2 linked regions of the Astyanax mexicanus genome follow. The protein of the gene in region 2 purifies or fractionates together with the protein of the main gene of each other region. This does not show direct contact. Links are inferred from orthologs where the notes say so. Each region holds a gene or a part of one and is shown on either strand. Other genes may lie near its edges. The genes, in order: srprb and tmem259.

Region 1 (9,563 bases), on a different chromosome or scaffold from region 2:
TTGCCAGTTTAAGCGTTTGTGTTTGTGTGACGCACCTGCACACCAAGGGGATTTGGATTTCTTTTTTTCCTCTGGAATAAAGATTGGCTTAACTTCCTGTAATTAGCCTGAAAATGATTAACCAACTAGAAAAGTGTTTTATGCTGCTGGAGAACTGGACCATGGTTTAGTAGATGCAGACCAAGACCTCTTTTGGTCAAATAGGAATCAATCCCCGCTATCAAAGTCAACAAAACTGAGATTAACTTTTTCTAACACCCTTCATTTCAGAAGAAACAATGTGTGTATATATTGAAAATATGTAAATATAAATAGATATGTACCAAATTGTATAGACATTTTTATATAAAATGTATTCAGAGCAGAAAACAAAAACTTACAGAAGATTCTATTATTCTTATACAGAACAAATCTTTTTGTTCTTTTCTGAATGCAGTACAGTGAAGTATGTGATTAAAGCTTGTTCCTAATTGCTATTCAACAATTATAATAAATAAAATCTAACATTAATAGTTTGTTCATAGAGTTCATTGTTAGCAGAAATAAAGTAATAAAAAAAGTAAAACACTCACAGCTCCTTCTCCAGCTGCTGCTGAATCAGTTTGGCTGACTTCGCCATTGTAATATCTACAATTAAAGAGAGAAGTGAAAAAATAAATAAATATTCAACACTTTTTACTTATATCAATACTAATATCATCTAAACATTTCTATAATTACAGTCTGCAGTATATGAGGTACCCACAGAGCCCACACAACTGTGCTGAAGGCTAAAGGCCAAATAACCACAGAACACCTACTACATCAAAAATGAACAAAGACATGAATCATAAACCACTCGAGGTAAAGAGATGAGTGTGTGGGGGATTTTAAATGCATCAGTTTTAGGTGCAACAGTGTGCTCGTACCTTGTTTGTTGCACGCGATCAGCAGAGTTGGGGCATTCCTGGTCACCACACTGTCCGTCAGCAAGGAGTAAAGCAACTCAGCCACATCCTTCACCTCCTTCTGGAAGACTGCACTGTCCACCACGAACACTATCGCTCTAGGGTCACAAGAAGCATTACATTAAATTCTGAGTTTCAGGCTTAGTGTCTTTAATTCATAATGACTAAGATCAGATTAGAAATTAGATTAGAAATAAGACTATGCTACATGGTCAAAAGTACTGGGATACCTGCCCATTCATTGTTTTTTTCGAGATGAATAGTAGTTATAAAAAAAAATAATAATAATAATAAAAAAATTATATTAGAATAATAATAATAAAATATATTTATATTATTATAATTATTTTTATTACTACTATTATTATTATTATTATTAATAATAATAATAATAATAGATTTTGTTAAGAGTATCTGTCTCTACTGTAAGGGAAGGCTGTCTACTGCATGTCGGGCATTGGGTGCAGCATGAGGACCTTCATGCATTCATTAGAAGACGTGTCCACAAACATTTGTGCATATAGAGTTCTTTTAATAGAGACTCTCCATACAGAATCCTTCGTAGTTCAGAATTAGGTTTAATCCCTGTCCGGGAAACCGTCCCATAGTGTATCAGTTTCTCTGATTTTGCTATTTATTGGTATATGTTTGAGTAAAATGAAAATAGGTCTTTTATTCTATAAACCACGGCCAACATTTCTCCCAAATAAAAATAGTAATTTTGAGCATTTATTTGCAGAAAATGAGAAATGGCTGAAATAACAAAAAAGAAGCAAAGTTTTCAGACCTCATATAATGCAAAGACAAACAAGTTTATATTTATAAAGTTTTAAGAATTTAGAAATCTATATTTTGTGGAATAACCCTGGTTTTTAATCACAGTTTTCATGCATTTTGGCATGTTCTCCTCCACCAGTCTTACACACTGCTTTTGGATAAATTTATGCCACTCCTGGTGCAAAACTTAAACAGTTCGGCTTGGTTTGATGGCTTGTGATCATCCATCTTCCAAACCAGCACAACACCCACTAATAGGCCAATGCCACTCCAGTGATGTTTCTAGAACTTTACACCAAAAAAAGCAATCTCTATTTAACCCATCACTGTATGTACCTTGCAGAAGCCTTAAACCTCTCCAAAAACTGAGGCCTCAGACTTTCATGGCCAGGAAGGTCAACAAGAGTCCAGGTGGTACCCTGCACACAAATAGACAGACACAAACATGAGTCAATGAGAATGCTATGCTATAGGACATATTATACGCTTATCCTGAAGTCAACAAACATCTCTTTGGTTTTGTCCACATTTAGAGCAATTTTACACACGAAAGTTCAAACCCAGGTCCAGGCACCAAGGTTTGTGTCTTTGTTACACTGTGTACATTTGGAGTTTGATTTCGGCACAACACCAATTCTTCTTTATCTCTGGCGTGGTTAACAGGTAACTAAACCCTCTGATTTTTGCTGACTCCACCCTCAGCTCAAATGTGAAAAATGCTTAAAAAAAATAAATAAAAAATGGGAAGAGTAGTTTGGGAGGGGCACCGGGTGATGTATGGGATTAGGGGCAGGTCAGAAGGGAGAGCTGACTGGTCTGAGCAGTGTGCCTCTGACAGCAGTGAGACGCAGTAGTGTGAAACTGTAGTGTGAAACCAAAACTAACTGGACCAACTGTACAGAATACAATGTAACTAACACACAAACCTTGGTGTCTGGACTTGGGTTTGAACTTTCAGGTGTAAAAACACCCTTTGTCTTACCACATTTTGATTCTTTGGTCCAGACCGAGGTCCGTGGCCCCTTTCACACCTGATATTTTGGTTTGGTCCAAAGTGAAAATCAGAAAGTCCAAACTAAAAAAGGCAGGTGTAAATCCACCTTTAGACATCCACTTTTACCTGAATGGCCAAATTCCCATCCATACATCTGGTCCATTTTATTCATCACAGACCAGCTTGGACCTGAAACTAGCTGCTGGGGTAAAGCTGGGGTTAAACTCAGCAGGGTAGTAGTGAGTTTTGTCACCATTATGGTCTTACCTTCTCATTTTTGGTTTTATAGTTTGCACTGTTTTCAGAGATGGATGTTTGAGTGTTTGTGAATCTCCCTGCCAAGAGCTGGAGAGACAGAAATAACCAGTTATACCCTGCTACAGATTAAGCAGTCCTTTAGGATAAGCAGTTATTAATAATAATAATATAAGGTATAGGGGGTATAAGAAAAGGTTAAAGAAACACTCACTCTACTGAAGAGAAGAGTCTTCCCTGAATCACACAAACCCACCAGCAGCACACTGCTTCTTTTAGTCTTGGTACTGAACAGAAACTTAAATAACACTGAAAAAAACACACAAATAGCAGCTTTTTAATACGTGTTTAATAAATCATGGCCTGGTTTAACAACAACAAAGCTATTTAACTACAAATAAGCTAGACTTCTGTGTAAAATGTGCAATAAAAAGCTATAAAATGCTTTTACAGTGATTTTTTTAAAACACCAGTCTTATTTTTTAAAAGTATCTAACTACAAAATAATCCAGACTTCTGTGTAAAATGTGCAAAAAGCTATAAAATGTTTTTACAGTGGAAATTTCTAAAACACCAGTCAGTTATTTTGAAGTTATTTAACTAACGTTACAAAATAACCCAGACTTCTGCATGAAATGTGCAATGAAAAAACTATAAATGCTTTTACAGTGGAACATTTTTAAACACCAGTCTTATTTTTTAAGTTATCTAACTACAAAATAATCCAGACTTTTGCATAAAATGTGCATAAAACGCTATAAAATACTTTTATTTTTAAGCTAGGCTTAGCCAACCTAGCTAATTGCTAAGCTAGTGCACGTCATTTTGTTAGGAAGCCACTTTTATCAGATCTTACAATAACGCGGATCGACCTGCTACTCAGATCCATCATTAGCCGCATATACAAGTCTATCCTTTCGCGTTACAGATCAGGTAAAATCACCAGTAAACGATGCCGTTAGCTTAGCACACTCACCTACTGTTATTATAACCACTGCTAAAGCCACGAACACCCCGATTAGGAAAGCAGGGTCCTGTTCTATAAACTCTTTAACCAGCGAGTCCAGAAACGGCTCGGAGGAAAAATCCTCCAAATCCAGGTTAATCTTCTCCTCCATAGCGGCGGTGCTGCTGCTGCTGCTTCTGTCACTGAGGCACTGAACACACACGTGTACTTACAGCGCCCGCGCACATGCGCAGTACACACACCGAGTCCGATACCTGAAAAAATATATATATTACCTCTAACTACTAGAAGGAGCCCAACAATGAGACCTAAATGAATGGGAGCTTGATTGATCTATTTTTTTTTTTTTTGCATTGATTAATTTTATAGTTGATGATTAGAATATTATATAAGACCAAGGAAAGCATGAAGTGCTGTAAGATTTACCGATAAAACACTGCACTGACCTGGGACCTGATATAACACAGTGGACCAACACTAGCAGATGATGACTCTCCAAAACATCACTGACCAGCAGGACTTGGCACACTGCCCACACTGCCAAAAGTGCCAATTGGTCTAATATAATTTTGGGGTCTTTAAAGCATAGTCATTAGCAATAAAATAAAATAAACACTTAAAATAGATAGCTCTGCTTGTAATACAAATATATATATTGTGGCGACCGCCAAAAAGCTGTAAGTACACCACTGAGTTCTTGTGTTTGCAGCAGAGTGCAAGGAGGAGGGGCTGCGTGTGTGTGTGTTTCTACGATGCAAGCCCCCCCCCCCCCCCCCCCCCTTACACTCTGCTCTTATTTACGGAAATGTAGTAGTTATTAATAGTAGAAGTGGCTGTTATCAGGTTGTTATGCCTTGTATTTACTGTGTTGGGGAAATGTTGGATGGTCACCGTTAGGGTGAACCACACTCCGTAGATAGGGCTGGCTCAGTTTAATGTTTGTGGGCAGTCGGGATAGATACCTCCATGTGCTTCTAAGTGCTATTAGTGAGAGTTCAGTTTTCCCAAATAAAGAGCTGCATTTCTGACACTCAGTATTTTGACAACGGCTTCTTCACACATACATAGACATATATTTTTCATTTTCAACAGAAAACTATTTTTAAGCAACTGGGATGCTATAGCATCACTTCTACTGAGCTAACTGGTGAGCTGATGCTGGAGGAGAGAATACTCACTTAAGAATCTCTTCGGAGTTTGTTTAACCACCAGAGGGCGCTGCCGGGTCCAAAATGAATGGGTTCATATCGAGCATTCGAGCAAAATCAATTTATAAAGGTTTGTTGTAGAAAACAAAAAAATATATAGGTATGTTTTCTTTGTATTTTGGGCAAAGTACTTTATTTTACTATCTGAAGTTAAAGGAATGTACTGGACAAATAGTTATACAGTTTTTAGCCAATTAGCTTCATTTACCCCAGCACAGAGACTGTGGTTTTATTTAAATTTGATTTCACCGGCATTAACAAACGTTGCAGATTTGTCTAACTAGATATCATTAACCAGGTTTGTTATGCTGGCCCAGAGTTCTCCCTGTTTACCATCTTAAGATGAAGGCCTTCAGCTTTGTAGGTCTAAATTTGACATATGGTTTCGTTATAGAACACAGCTTTAACTTGCCTTGGCGGATTACAGCAGAGAGAACTGCGTTTAGTACTTTTTGGGAGTATAGATATATAGTGAGTTACAGTATATAGAATAATGTCTGATTTTACCATGCCATCTGAGAACCCGAAGAGCACCAGCAGCCACTATGATTTGTCTTTGCAGGGGCAGACTTCACCAGATAATACTGTTGCTGGTGAAACACCCAAAGTCTTTAAAGTTTTACACATACCAGTCATTTAAACCTTATTTTATGAAGAAAGAAAGCAGTAACATTTACACATCAGTGGCAACTCAAGTGCAATAAATCAATCTTATAATTTTAATTGAAAAACGTCCACAGCCGACCACAAAACTAAAGCAGAAGAATGTTCTCAATTAAGTGCAAAGTCTCATCATTAAAAACAGGTATTTAAGTAAGTTTAAATTCTGAAGCAGCAGAATATTTGCGTGGTTTGAATCATGTTGCTAATCACCGGTTTGCTAATCACGTTTCGCAATTTTTTTAAACGCATGTATTAATTCTACTTAATATTAAGGAAAAGATCTATACATTAACAAAGCTGGTAAAAGACAAAAGCATCCAACCAGACAGATCTAAAGATTGTCATATTATTCACAGATTTATAGTTATTGGTTTCAATAACCTCAAAAAAAACAAAAAAAAACTAAACTGTAATAAAACTGCTGTTAAAACAAGTGCGCCTAAAATGTTTAAATGGATGTCAGCGTTGTGGAAATCACATTCTACACAAATTATGTTCACATATCGGTTCAAACTAAAAGTACGTGTGTGCTGTTTGAGGTTAAAAAAGTTATATTTAACACTTTAGTCCTTTAACATATACACACAAGCAGCAAATTAAGGTCAGCATTAGAGTCTTCAGACCAGTAAAACAAAGAGAATCATCCTTGCCTCCTTAAACCACTAGCTATCACACTAATTCTATCTTCAAAAAGACTTAATCGAAATACGCGCAATTAACGTTACCTGTATCATTCCATCAACCAAACATCATGCAAACACACTGGTAACAGAGTTCAAACCACATAATGAAAATAATAAACTTTAACTTAACGACTTCTTTTCACTTTTTTTTTTTTTTTTTTTTTTTTTTTGATAAGAAATCTCACAAGCCGTCTCACACACACCGTAGTCACCTCAAACGAGCTCCTCTTATGCGTTCCTACCGCCTGATCAGGTGACGAAGGAATCCCTAATTACTAATAATCAACACCTGGTAGCTGTTACATTAGTACGTACCGTGATCGTTTGAGGCAAAATTTTTTTTTTTTTTTTTTTTTTTTTTTTTTTTTTTTTTTTTTTTTTTTTTTTTTACAAGACGCCGTTTCCTCGTGTTATTAGCTTAATAGTAATCCTTCTTAAGCGTAATATCTTTATTTGGAAAATATCGGAGTTTAATTTGTTTCATTAGCGTAAGGAACTGGCCACGCTGTAGTTAATTATGAGTCGATTCTTTGACTTAAAGCACGTCTCAGAGTCGAATATTTGTTAGTAATATTTGGGTCGAGTGCATGTAATGTCAGAAAGAGTTTCAGATTGAGTGCCTTGGTTCTGTTAAACAACGCGGCTTTACCTCATAATTTTACCTAAACACTTTACTTCAACATTATTAAGGCACGGGTTCCTGTTTTTTAAGGCCTCCTGTTTTTATGCCTGACCTAAAAAAAGATTTGAAAAGTGGAAATTAATCAGTGCAGTTGAAGCTTCTTGCTGTAAAGATAGAAGACAACAAACTACAATTTTATTGAGTTCTTTAAAAAAATATAAAAAGCCTCTAAGGTGATATATTGTTGACCTTTACTTATTAAGGTGTGGGAATGAGAACCTAGTGCGTGGCCACGACTTATTAAGGTGTGGGAAAATAAAACATTTCTGTAAATAAATGCCCATGAAGAAACTCATCAGTTTATCTTCCTTGGGCAGTCATGTTGTGCGAAACCCCTGAGAGCTGCTTTCTTTGTTAGCTGTGAAAAAAGGGACCTTGTGGCCAAGCCTTAATGTCTATCATTAAATTAACTTGTTCCTGTGCCTTAATAAGTCGTGCCCACACATTAGGATCTCGTTCCCATGCCGTAATAATCAAGTTCCCACACATTAGGATCTCCTTCCCATGCCATACTCTTTAATAAGTCGTGGCCACACTTTTTTTTACATGATGTCACCTTAGGGGCGTCATAAAAAGTAAGTGTTTGAAAGTTTGTAAACCTATTAGAATTGTCTATATTTCTGCATAATTATGACCTGAAACATCAGATTTTCAAGTCTTTAAGGAAAAAGATCAAGAGAACCTTGTTAAACAAATGAGACAAAATACTAATTTATTTATTGAGGAAAATTATCCAATGTTACATTAGTATGTGAATTAGTATGAGAAATGTGTGTATTTCATTCTGAGGTAAAATAAACGCGTGGTAAATAGCTTTTTATCATCATAAAAGTCACACAAATGTCTTTACTCACATAATGCTATTAAATCATTATCGTTCCTAGGCTGTTTATCACCCTGTGGGATATACTATACTATAACACCCCACAAAGACAGGAATACAAACTTTAGTGTGTGTGTGCGTGTGCGCGCGCGGGGGGTACGCGAGAGTTTTTTTTTTTTTTTAGTTCAGACTCTCCTCATGTGTTGAATGGTCTGGTCTGCGCGTTCTGACGGTCTTCTGCTTTGCGTTGGCTTCCTCCAGCCGAGAACTTGCACCGACAGCAGTGGAGAACCGAGAGCGCGCATTCTGCTCCGTGAAGCTGAACGGGAGCGCGCGGGGATCCAGGCGGTGTGCTTGGCTTCAGCACTGGTGCAGCGATGTCACGGCACGCGCTATGGCTCTCCGTGTGCTGCATCCTCGCGTGTTGGACTGGACCTTCTCTCGGAACCGGCTTCATCTACCAGTTCCCTAACGGACTAACGGTGCAGCACGTGAACTCTGAACAAAGTGCTGGACCTCCAGCTGCGGCTATTAACTCCCAGCGCAGGTATGGACACATATCACACACTTTCACACACACACACACACGTTATTATGTTTTTGTAGCCATATAAGAATCGAAACCAGTTTTCTTCTTTAAACAGCTGGAAATAACAGCATGTGCAACTCAAGCTGGTCAATATGGTTTTGACAAGCATATGTTATTTTTTTGTTCTTGACCAAGTTGGTTGACCAGCAAAACCAACTTGACCAAGCTGGTTGATAAACAAGACCAGCATAACTAGCAAAACCAGCAAGACCAAACCTGTCAAACCATCATGACAAGCAGCTTAACTAGTTTGATGGTTTAGCTGGTCTACAGACATGATCCACCTCACCCAGCTAGGCAACCAGTATGACCAGCCATAGCCAATATAGTTGCCCGGCTTGACCAAGTTCTTTGGTTAGCAAGACCACTTTGACCAAGCTGGTTGACAAGAAAAATAATCTTGACCACACTGGTTGGCCAGTAAAACCAAGCCGGTGGACCAACAAGGTCAACATGACTAGCAAAACCAGCAAGACCAAACTTGTCAACCAGCATGACGAGCAGCTTAACTAGTTTGATGGTTTAGCTGCTCTACAAACATGATCTAGCTTACCCAGATAGGCAACCAGTATGACCAAGTCTCACCATGCTGGTTGACCAGAATAGCCAATATGGTTGAACGGCTTGACCAAGTTGGTTGACCAGCAAGACCTGCATGACAAGCAAGACCAGTAAGACCAAACTTGTCAACCAGCATGACAAGCATGACCACAGTCAAATGCAGCATGTTCTATGTTAGTCAAGAACTGAAAAAATTGCATGATGTTACTTGGTTTTGTTTGGCAACAGTAGTCAGGGACCCCTTCTAATTGCATTCAATAAATTCAGCAACAAGCCTTGGACTAAGCAGCATTTTAATTGTAGATTTCCTATTGAAAGCAAAAAATTAACAGGTAAACGAGAGCTAGGCTTGATTCATGTCTGGGAATCTGACTTACTGTGTTCCTAAGGAGTTAAAAAGTCAATTTTAAGCAA
Region 2 (9,155 bases):
TTTTTTATTATACAGCAATTATAAAAAATAAAATCAGTATATTGTAAATACATAACTCAAAATAAGTTTTTGCCAATGTTAAACTTAAGGAAAGATAATGATTGACAGTTGTCTCCCCATCAATGTAAACAATCCTGTGTGAGCTGTGTTCCCCAGAGGAAATTCAATAACCATTATCCTGAAGCAGTTGAGCAAATCAATTGCTGTTACATCTGCTCTCACTTCCCATATCTGTTATCTGTGTCTGCTTACTATCAATAAAAATGCTAGATCAAGCATTGGGAGATATCCACTGTTTACATATGTTCATATTGCCTGAAAACATTACTGCTGTATTTTATGGTAAAGCTATATTTGTGCACAAGCACGGGGTCACGACTGTCTGCAAAATGTACGATCAATTCTTTGCCTTCCGCTCCACTGTTATGCAGTCCTCATCTGCCCACTTCATCAAGAAGCTTCTTCTGTCTAAAGCTTTAACCACAAACCACACACCACCACACAACACAAAACTAATGTCTATTACAATAGCACCTGTTACTTGTGTATGCTGTTGCCTTAAAGTTACAGACATACAGACATTGTTACACATTATATTAATCAGCAAAACTTATTCTATCATCCTCATATCAAAAAGTGATCTTAAGCCCTATCAGGACGAGATTAGTTTTTCAGGGGGCGCCTGTGATTAATATTTCACACTTTTACTCAGTGATAAAACTCTTGCATCTGGACTACAACTGAAAAAACAGGAGGACCAGTGAGTTAACTGGCTTTTACTATTACTACTAGTAAGTAATTCAGTCTGTAGTTTTCTCAGAGGACGTCTGAAAACCACATACATGATCATTCCGGATGGGAATAAAATCACAGAGGACCCCACCCCCCTTAAAAGAGAAAATTAACCCAGGATCCAGTATGCTAGGATGAATACAAAGCAAGCTGGGACTAAAATGCAACCATGAAACATTTGTCTTGCTTGGTCTGAACCAAGAGAACCAAACAACAAACAAACACCTCCTAAGTGTGTGTTTATATTTGGCAATGCATTTCAACAAAATAGAAAAAAGGAGTACTGTGCCATCTCTAGTTTTATATAAAAGTATTTAAATTTAGTCTTAATAAAAGAGAATATTCCTAGACATAAAAGACAAAAACAAATACTCTAGTGTTTAAAATATGTCCAGTCTTTTTGTTTTCTCTGCTGTAACACATAAATAAAGGGCAATTTCCCTATGACTAGATTTACCTTTTAATATACAATCTCCATTCAAAATACTGTGTAGATCACGACTAGGCTTAATCCCCATCTAGGAAACTGTCCCAAAGGTTTACCTAGGAAGGAAATGCACTAAAATATGTATGTTCCCCTCACCCAGGACTGGAAAACACTGCCCTAAAACAGAACAAGTGCCTGCATGTGTTTTTCCTTTTACTTACCCTAACAGAGCTGTTATCAAACATTTCCATGGTCATTTCGTCCTCCTCCTCCTCTTCTTGATGAACAGGAGCTCGGCTGGTGTCCTCTGTATCTCCACTGGATTCTTTAACCAGCCCCTGGAATCCTTCCGTCTCGTAAAACTGCAGGAATATGGGCGCACGGCTTGAGTTGCGCTGGATCTCCACGCGCAAGATTCCATCACGTGGCCATTTCTCACGCACATGCTCCAGACAGTTGATGGGTGATCGGGAGAAGGCGATGTGGATGTAGGCCAGAATGAACAGCACAAACAAAGCCTGCAAATGAGAGGATGTGATTGATGTCAGTAGGTAAACATTCTTTAGCTCAGCAGAATAAAAAAAATGGGACACTCCACACATCCTTACGGGTCTTGTGGGTACATGCACACGAGGACCCCTGGACCCCTTTGGAACAGGGCTATAGTTGGCAATGGTATCATCAGGGATTAAAACCTGCAATCTCCTGATTAAACGGCCAGAACTTAAGTCCCTTTACTCAGGAGCTCTCTAGAAAAAGCAGCTCAAAACTGTCACAGGGTGATACCAACAAGCGTTTTTGTTGATTTTTAGTTTACTACAAAACATGAATACACAAACTGTCCCTTATACTGTGTGAAAATTTCTTGATGGATGGACCAAAAGAAATTCTTCTTTATTGCCTGAAATTAACTCTTTTCAAACTAACTTCCATTGAAAGTTGGAAAGGTGGTTTCATATCTCTCTTGTAAAATACTAGTTTTTCATTGGATAGCACTCTGTACAATAGTTCTGTCTATTTCTGACAGTGTACCATGTTTACCTCTGTGGCTTTCCTCACCTATAGGCAGGTTTTACACATACAATTTCTATTTGAGCAGAGATAAGTGTTGACTTCTGATTTGCAGCCAACATTTTAACATGACAGGTCCTGTTTTGACTAATAGTCAGTAAAAACATTATTATCTATATAGTTAACATACAGTTTTGCATGGGTTAATTGGCCAATATTGCAGATTTGAATGTAGCAGTCACAGAATACGTGTTTTAAAATATGTTATTGTGCCATCTCAATCCAGATCAATCTGTTAAGGCACACCAACATTTAACCTTTATTCATAATATGAAAGCCTGGCGTGTCCTCTATGTCTAATTACAGAATTACAGAGTGTATCTGTGGTCAAGTTACACTGTGACTTTCATAGAAGAGTGAGGGGCAGCTTCTCAAACAGGGATAAAGCCTAGTTATAGATTATACTTAAATGGAATATCTCAATTCAAGATGTCAAAGAAGGCTTAAACTGCTAATTTATAACCAGAAGTAGGCCTGAACTTGGATTAGCTAAGGTAGCATTCTCAGTATATACTGTATATATAGTGTTCTCACTGTAGCTAAAATGCTCAACAAATATGGGCTCAGGTCCAAAAGGGTACGGGGTAAACAAATGACACGTACCTTCAGAAGCACGAAGAACTCGAAAATCCTCCGAAAGGACGGTGGGAATAGCCTGGCATAGGTGACTGCCATCTTAAAGAAGAGGGCATGAAAGAGGCGGTCCCGCACGTTGATGAGGGGGTTCTGGTTGATGTTCGGGTTGCGGATTCGGTTCGGACCGCCATTGTTGTTCAACGGCACGTTGTTGTTGTTTAGGTTTCCCTGGTTGTCTGACATGTCTAACGCCAGTCCCACGAGTTTAGTGCGAAAATTTGATGGCCATGTAGGTCAGACAGGGAGCGACATACGCAGATACTGATAATTAACAGTACTGCCACTTAACCTAGTTAACTAATGCTAGCTAGCTACCTAACTAACAAATTAACGTGGGTGGCTGTAATTAGCTAACCTGGGTTTGCTAGTTAACTGAGAAACATTAGCTATCTTAGTGTGGTTATTTAGCGCTAGTCTGCTAGCTTGTGCACTACAGTCTGTGCATGTACTTTAACTAACGTTATAAACTGCACCAAATTTCTTAATAATCCAGCCTACGTCGTTTGACTGAGCTAGCCCTAGTTATCTTGGATATGTGTGTCTCATGACATCGCTACGAGTTTGCTGGCTTGTAAAAACAAGCTCAGTTAGCATTAGCTAACCTAGCTACCGCTAACTACTGAATGGGGGCATGTCACACTCCGTAGACGTTGTTTTTTTAGTCTTCTTCTGTTTTTATTTCGGTCTATCCTTAGCTAAATAGCTTTGTCAGCCTTAATAAGATGAACAACACCGAACTAGCGTTAGCTAGCTTAGCATACGTGCTAGCTAGCGCTAAGTAAACTGTACCTGGCCCTACTACTCTACTAACCCAACTAACCAGGCGTTAGCTAGCTACGCTAGCTACAACCTCGCTAGCTCACGTTTGCTCCATTTACCACTAAGCTAACTATCTTAGCTAAGCTAACTGATTTAAATACTCCAGGTCAATTAACAGAGTCTGTCAGTGTTGCTGAAATGTAGCTAAATTAAAAAGAGCTAACTAAACTCGATGCCACTTGCTAGCATAGCCCGCTAGCCTGTTGCTTATTAAACTAGCAGCTAACCTAGCTAGCTAGGCTAAACTACAGTTCAGTCTGACGTACAGCTAGCTGCACACAGAGGCCGTATGATCTGCTGCTCCTCAGATCAGCTTCTCTATTAAACACAGATCCTGACACTCACTCTCCCTCTACCGCACACGGAACCGTAACGACGCTAAATACAATCCCACGGGATTCCTCTCCGACAGAAGCTGCCAAGAACTTGTATCCTCTCGCTGTGGTCCCCCTGTTTACACGACCCTTTTCTAATCAAGGCGTACTTGGGTACTTCAGGAGTGACGAGAGCGAAGAAAGTGAGCGGTTGGCAAAGACAGTCATGCCGATGTGTTAGACCCGGACTCAGCGGCTGATCTCAGATACAGCGCCACCTCTACGCGGGACGACTACAAACACACCTGTGGCAAAATCGCCTAGATCCTCAGTTAATCAATTTGATTCTACCCTTTTAAAACAATGGTCTGTGTCAAGAGCATGAATTATTAAGGTAATTTATTATGCGTCAAGTCAAAACAAAATGTGACGTTAATTTTAATAGCCGTCCTTCACTGAACTAATTTCCACAGTTCAGGGCTTGTCCCCAGTTTGGTAATTAAATTAAATTAAATTATATTGATATAGCGCTTTTTACAACATTTGTAAAACCACACACAGTGCACCACAGTGATGCCAACAGTAACAAGGAAAACCCCCCTCATACTAAGTGGAAGACACTTTAGGATAACATGGTAGGCTAAGATGTTTATTAGATTTTTACTATAATATACAGTTTACTTCGTTTTAATAAAGACTTTGGGCTATAAATATTGCATAGATGTTTACATTTATTTTTTAATTTTATTTTTTATGATTTTAGTACGGTCAACACATTTATTAGTTGCATTGTTACCATGTTATTACAATTGAGTTATTATAATGATTTAATTACTATTCTCGTGTGACTTAATAACAATGTAGTTAAATCTTTATATTGAATAGAGAACAAAATGAAAATTAAAATATATCACAAAAGTTAATTAAAGGAGTAGAAACCTAATTTTAAACAACTATATAATGTCAATGGATAAATACATAAAATGTTTACCAAAAATTAGACATATAGAATTGCACCAAATAAATGACATTTATTTCAGACCTTTAGTAACACTTAATACAGCCCACAATTTAGTGTGTAAATGTGTAAGTTCAAATAACTTATGAGTACATACAAGATACAAAAATAAAGTTAGGGAGGTAAATAAAAAAAATACACCACATGTTTTGGGAAATTGTTATTTTCTTGTTATTGGTTGGGCTTTTTTGTTGTTGTACATGCATTTAAGTACCAATAAGAACCGGCACGTATTTTATATGTGTAACGGGCTTCTTAGTGTTACACATGTATAGGCTCATACAGGGATTATACCATACATTTTGGTAATTACATACTAAATGTCGGAAAATTGCCCAATTGTTCCACTATTGCTACTGTATTTTATATGTGCTGGTTCGTACTCGGGTCCTACTCTCTGGTTCCTGGTTATCCTCATTACTTTATTCGTAGCTACATTTAAGTAGCAGTAAGACAGACCTTGTAAATATTTTGTAAATACTGGTTCATACAGAGAAGTTACGGGACATTTTATTAAGTGTTACCATATATTTTATGACATAGATTATATTTAGTTAGCTAGTTAGTCTGTTAGCTTAGTTAGCTAACAGTTAGTGTTTCTGTTTATGGTTAGGGTCGTTACACTCCTGGCCGGTAACGGCGCTCTGACAGGTCAGTGCTGGGCGGAGCGCAGCGCTGCAGAGGAAGACTCATACACACAGCAACAGCGCTGTAGTTCACTGTATAATCTCCATACACAGAAACTTTATTTTAGTTTAACTGTGTTGTTTCAGAACCGTGTGGATTGTACATATTTTTTCTAAATACGTCGCTTTTTCCCCCTCATTTGTATCAAATTTGGTGAGATTTTGCGCTTTGTTATGACGAACTGGTTAGCTAAATAAGCTAACAAGCTAGCGTTAGCTGGCTAGCTAACAAGCTAGCATTAGCTGCTAGCTAACGCCGGGCAGTAGAGTCTATTGAATGGCTCTCTGTTCACTTGAGCGTTTGTATGAAACCCGGAGACATTGGAGGAGTATATCTATCTTAGTTAAATCGTTAATGTATTAATAATGGAGGTTGTGTATGTGTGCGAGTGGGAGAAGAGACCCAAAAACAACCACTGCCCCTCCATCCCGCTGGTGTGTGCCTGGTCCTGCAGAAACCTCATCGCCTTCACAACAGACCTGAAAAATGAAGAGGACGATAAAGGTAAGAGGAGTCCTTATACTAGTGCTCTCTGTTATCCTCTGTCTAATATAAAGTGTAGTTAGTTATATTAGGTTATATTCTACACTTTATTCATTTATGTCTATGAATTTTAGCCAGTGTACAGAACTTAAGCCTAACACTATGTTTGTGTCTACCACTTTTAGTTAGCTATGCATATTTCAGATCCACTGAACATACTACTGCATTTCAGAAAAATAAAATATCATTAAAAAGTTGCCTTATTTCAGTAGTTCAGTTCAAAATGTAAAATTCATATACAGCTCTGGAAAAAATTGAGAACACTTTCTTTGATTTTACCAAATTGAAATCCTCATAAAGCTATTCAAAAGCACTGTGTAAGACTGGTGGAGGAAAACATGCCAAGATGCACGAAAACTTTGATTAAAAAGCAGGGTTATTATTTTTATTTTAACCATTTCTCATTTTCTGCAAATAAATGCTGTAAATGACAATATTTCTATTTAGGAATTTGGGAGAAATGTTGTCCGTAGTTTATAGAATAAAACAACAATGTTCATTTTGCTCAAACATATACCTATAAATAGTAAAATCAGAGAAACTGAAGTGGTCTTTTAATTATTTCCAAAGCTGTATTATATAAATGTTTTATACACAGTAATCTATTATCTATAGTTGAAGATGATGACAAAAATCAGTATCTCAGAAAATCAGAATATTATATAAGACCGATTGGTACTTGTGGCGGTGTGGGCAGTGTGCCGAATTCTGCTGCAAAATGAAATCTGCATCTCTAGGAATCATTAAGTGCTGTAAGATTTTCCGGGAAAACATTGCACTGATTTTGGATTTGATTTAACACAGTGGACCAAAACCAGCAGATGACATGACTATCCAAACCATCACTGATTGTGGGAACTTCACACTAGACCTCAAGCAGCTTGGACTGTGTGCCTCTCCACTCTTCCTACCGATTCTGATTCCTTGAGTTCTCTGATCCCTTGATTATTTATAGCAATATTTTGAGCATACACACAATTGTGCTGCACATAATCCAGTTAAACATTACTGATTAAACTCTCTGTAATGTAATAGTGATGCTCATCAGTGTTCTTTTAGCAGTAATGTCATCCAAATATGCTTCGATATCACAAAAATTGAACACAATGCAATACAATGTAGAAAGAAGCCCTCTTCTATTGCACATACAGATGTTACATATTTTATAATATGCAATAGTATTGTGTTATTTGTATTAGTTGCTATTTACTGGAAAGATTTATGGGTTGTTTTTGTTTAATTGTTTTGCACTTTATATGCATGCACTAAATATTCCACACTTTGGTATTGCGCTAGATTTGTTGCTAAATTTTTTTGTTGTTACATTGCTTATTTTGTTATATATTTTTTGTACGAAACCTGAGACTTCATCATTTATTGGTTTGCTCTGTTGAAGCTGTTTTCTTTTGTGTATCATGGATATATATTTTTTCCCCTTAGTGCAGTCTAAGTGTTTAACATAGTACATTTTTTGCTTTAGAACTCAGTCACATGATTCATATCATTGACACTGAACACCCCTGGGATGTCTACTCCATCAACTCGGGTCATAGGGAAGTTATTTCGTGCTTGGAGTGGGACCAGTCAGGTAAGTTAACCTCACTGTTTAAAATTTAATTGTAAAACGGCCAATATTTTTGCATTCTCTCATATATACATTTTTTTCTAAATGATCTAATATTGCAAAAGATTAGCACTGTGTGCCCTGATAGGTGAAATTTTAGGACAAAGAGTATTGTAATGATGTTCACTCATTTTAGGGCTGCAGTATATTCATATCTAATTTTTGCCTTCATTCATTAAATTGTGTGTAACTAGGATCCAGACTGCTCTCTGCTGATGGGGACGGAGAGATCAAGTGTTGGGCAATGAAGGAACACCTTGTGAACAGCTGGGAAAGTATACAGAGCAGCTCTGTTGATGGAGACCCTATTGTAGCTCTCTCATGGTTGCACAATGGGGTCAAACTTGCACTGCATGTGGAGAAGGTAAGAGCAAGAAATTTACCCACATTTTTTAGTATATATTTTAGTATAAGGCACACTTAAAGTTCTTTAATTAAAAAAAAAAATGTCAGTGCACCTTATGTATGAATTCTACCAGTCAGGTTGTAAAGAGCAGTAAAGCCACTCCGCTAAAGTACAGCATTATAGTTTAGTTTTATAGTTTAGTTCTCCAGCATCTGAACTCTTTAAACTTTATGAATATGAACTAAAGGCTCTGCCTCTTTTTTATTATCTCAGCCATTTCTCATTTTCTGCAAATAAATGCTCTAAATGACAATATTTTTATTTGGAATTTGGGAGAAATGTTGTCTGTAGTTTATAGAATAAAACAACAATGTTCATTTTACTCAAGCATATTCCTATAAATAGCAAAATCGGAGAAACTGATTCAGAAACTGAAGTGGTCTCTTATTTCGTTCCAGAGCTGTATATATGATTTACAGATCAGATTTAAAGCAACAGTTACAAAAAAAACAGCTTGTTTAACTATAAAGGATAAATGCAATTTTATTTTACACACAGTTCTGCTCTGTAAGTTTTATTTTGCTTTCTGTTCTTATCACTCCACAGTCTGGATCCACCAACTTTGGTGAGAAGTTCTCCCGGGTGAAGTTCTCTCCGTCACTCACTCTGTTCGGCGGTAAGCCTATGGAGGGCTGGCTGGCTGTGACCGTGAGTGGCCTGGTGACCGTGTCCCTTCTGAAGCCCAACGGCGCTTTGCTGTCAGCCAGCGAAAGCCTGTGCCGGCTGCGTGGACGCGTGGCTCTTGCTGACATTGCCTTCACCGGCGGCGGGAACATTGTGGTGGCAGCGACGGACGGCAGCAGCTCATCACCAGTTCA

What was found.
Region 1: the proteins of tmem259 (region 2) and srprb purify together in Homo sapiens (affinity purification with mass spectrometry; 3 studies listed by BioGRID and IntAct, counting the BioPlex papers as one, with this or other methods). This does not show direct contact. The link is inferred for Astyanax mexicanus from reciprocal best matches to the Homo sapiens genes TMEM259 and SRPRB.

The regions. Positions count from the first base shown.
Region 1 is NC_064411.1:41,227,749-41,237,311, forward strand, and holds the start of srprb (signal recognition particle receptor subunit beta), read right to left. Parts: upstream 4,150-9,563; 5' UTR 4,092-4,149; coding exon 3,950-4,091; intron 3,283-3,949; coding exon 3,188-3,282; intron 3,064-3,187; coding exon 2,986-3,063; intron 2,144-2,985; coding exon 2,061-2,143; intron 1,046-2,060; coding exon 909-1,045; intron 628-908; coding exon 573-627; intron 1-572. Other genes in the region: collagen alpha-1(XXVI) chain, read left to right, coding at 8,377-8,546. UniProt on the Homo sapiens protein: Component of the signal recognition particle (SRP) complex receptor (SR). Ensures, in conjunction with the SRP complex, the correct targeting of the nascent secretory proteins to the endoplasmic reticulum membrane system.
Region 2 is NC_064423.1:18,116,229-18,125,383, forward strand, and holds the start of tmem259 (membralin), read right to left. Parts: upstream 4,320-9,155; 5' UTR 3,110-4,319; coding exon 2,894-3,109; intron 1,738-2,893; coding exon 1,441-1,737; intron 1-1,440. Other genes in the region: med16 (mediator of RNA polymerase II transcription subunit 16), read left to right, coding at 6,130-6,268, 7,788-7,895, 8,126-8,295, 8,884-9,155. UniProt on the Homo sapiens protein: May have a role in the ERAD pathway required for clearance of misfolded proteins in the endoplasmic reticulum (ER). Promotes survival of motor neurons, probably by protecting against ER stress.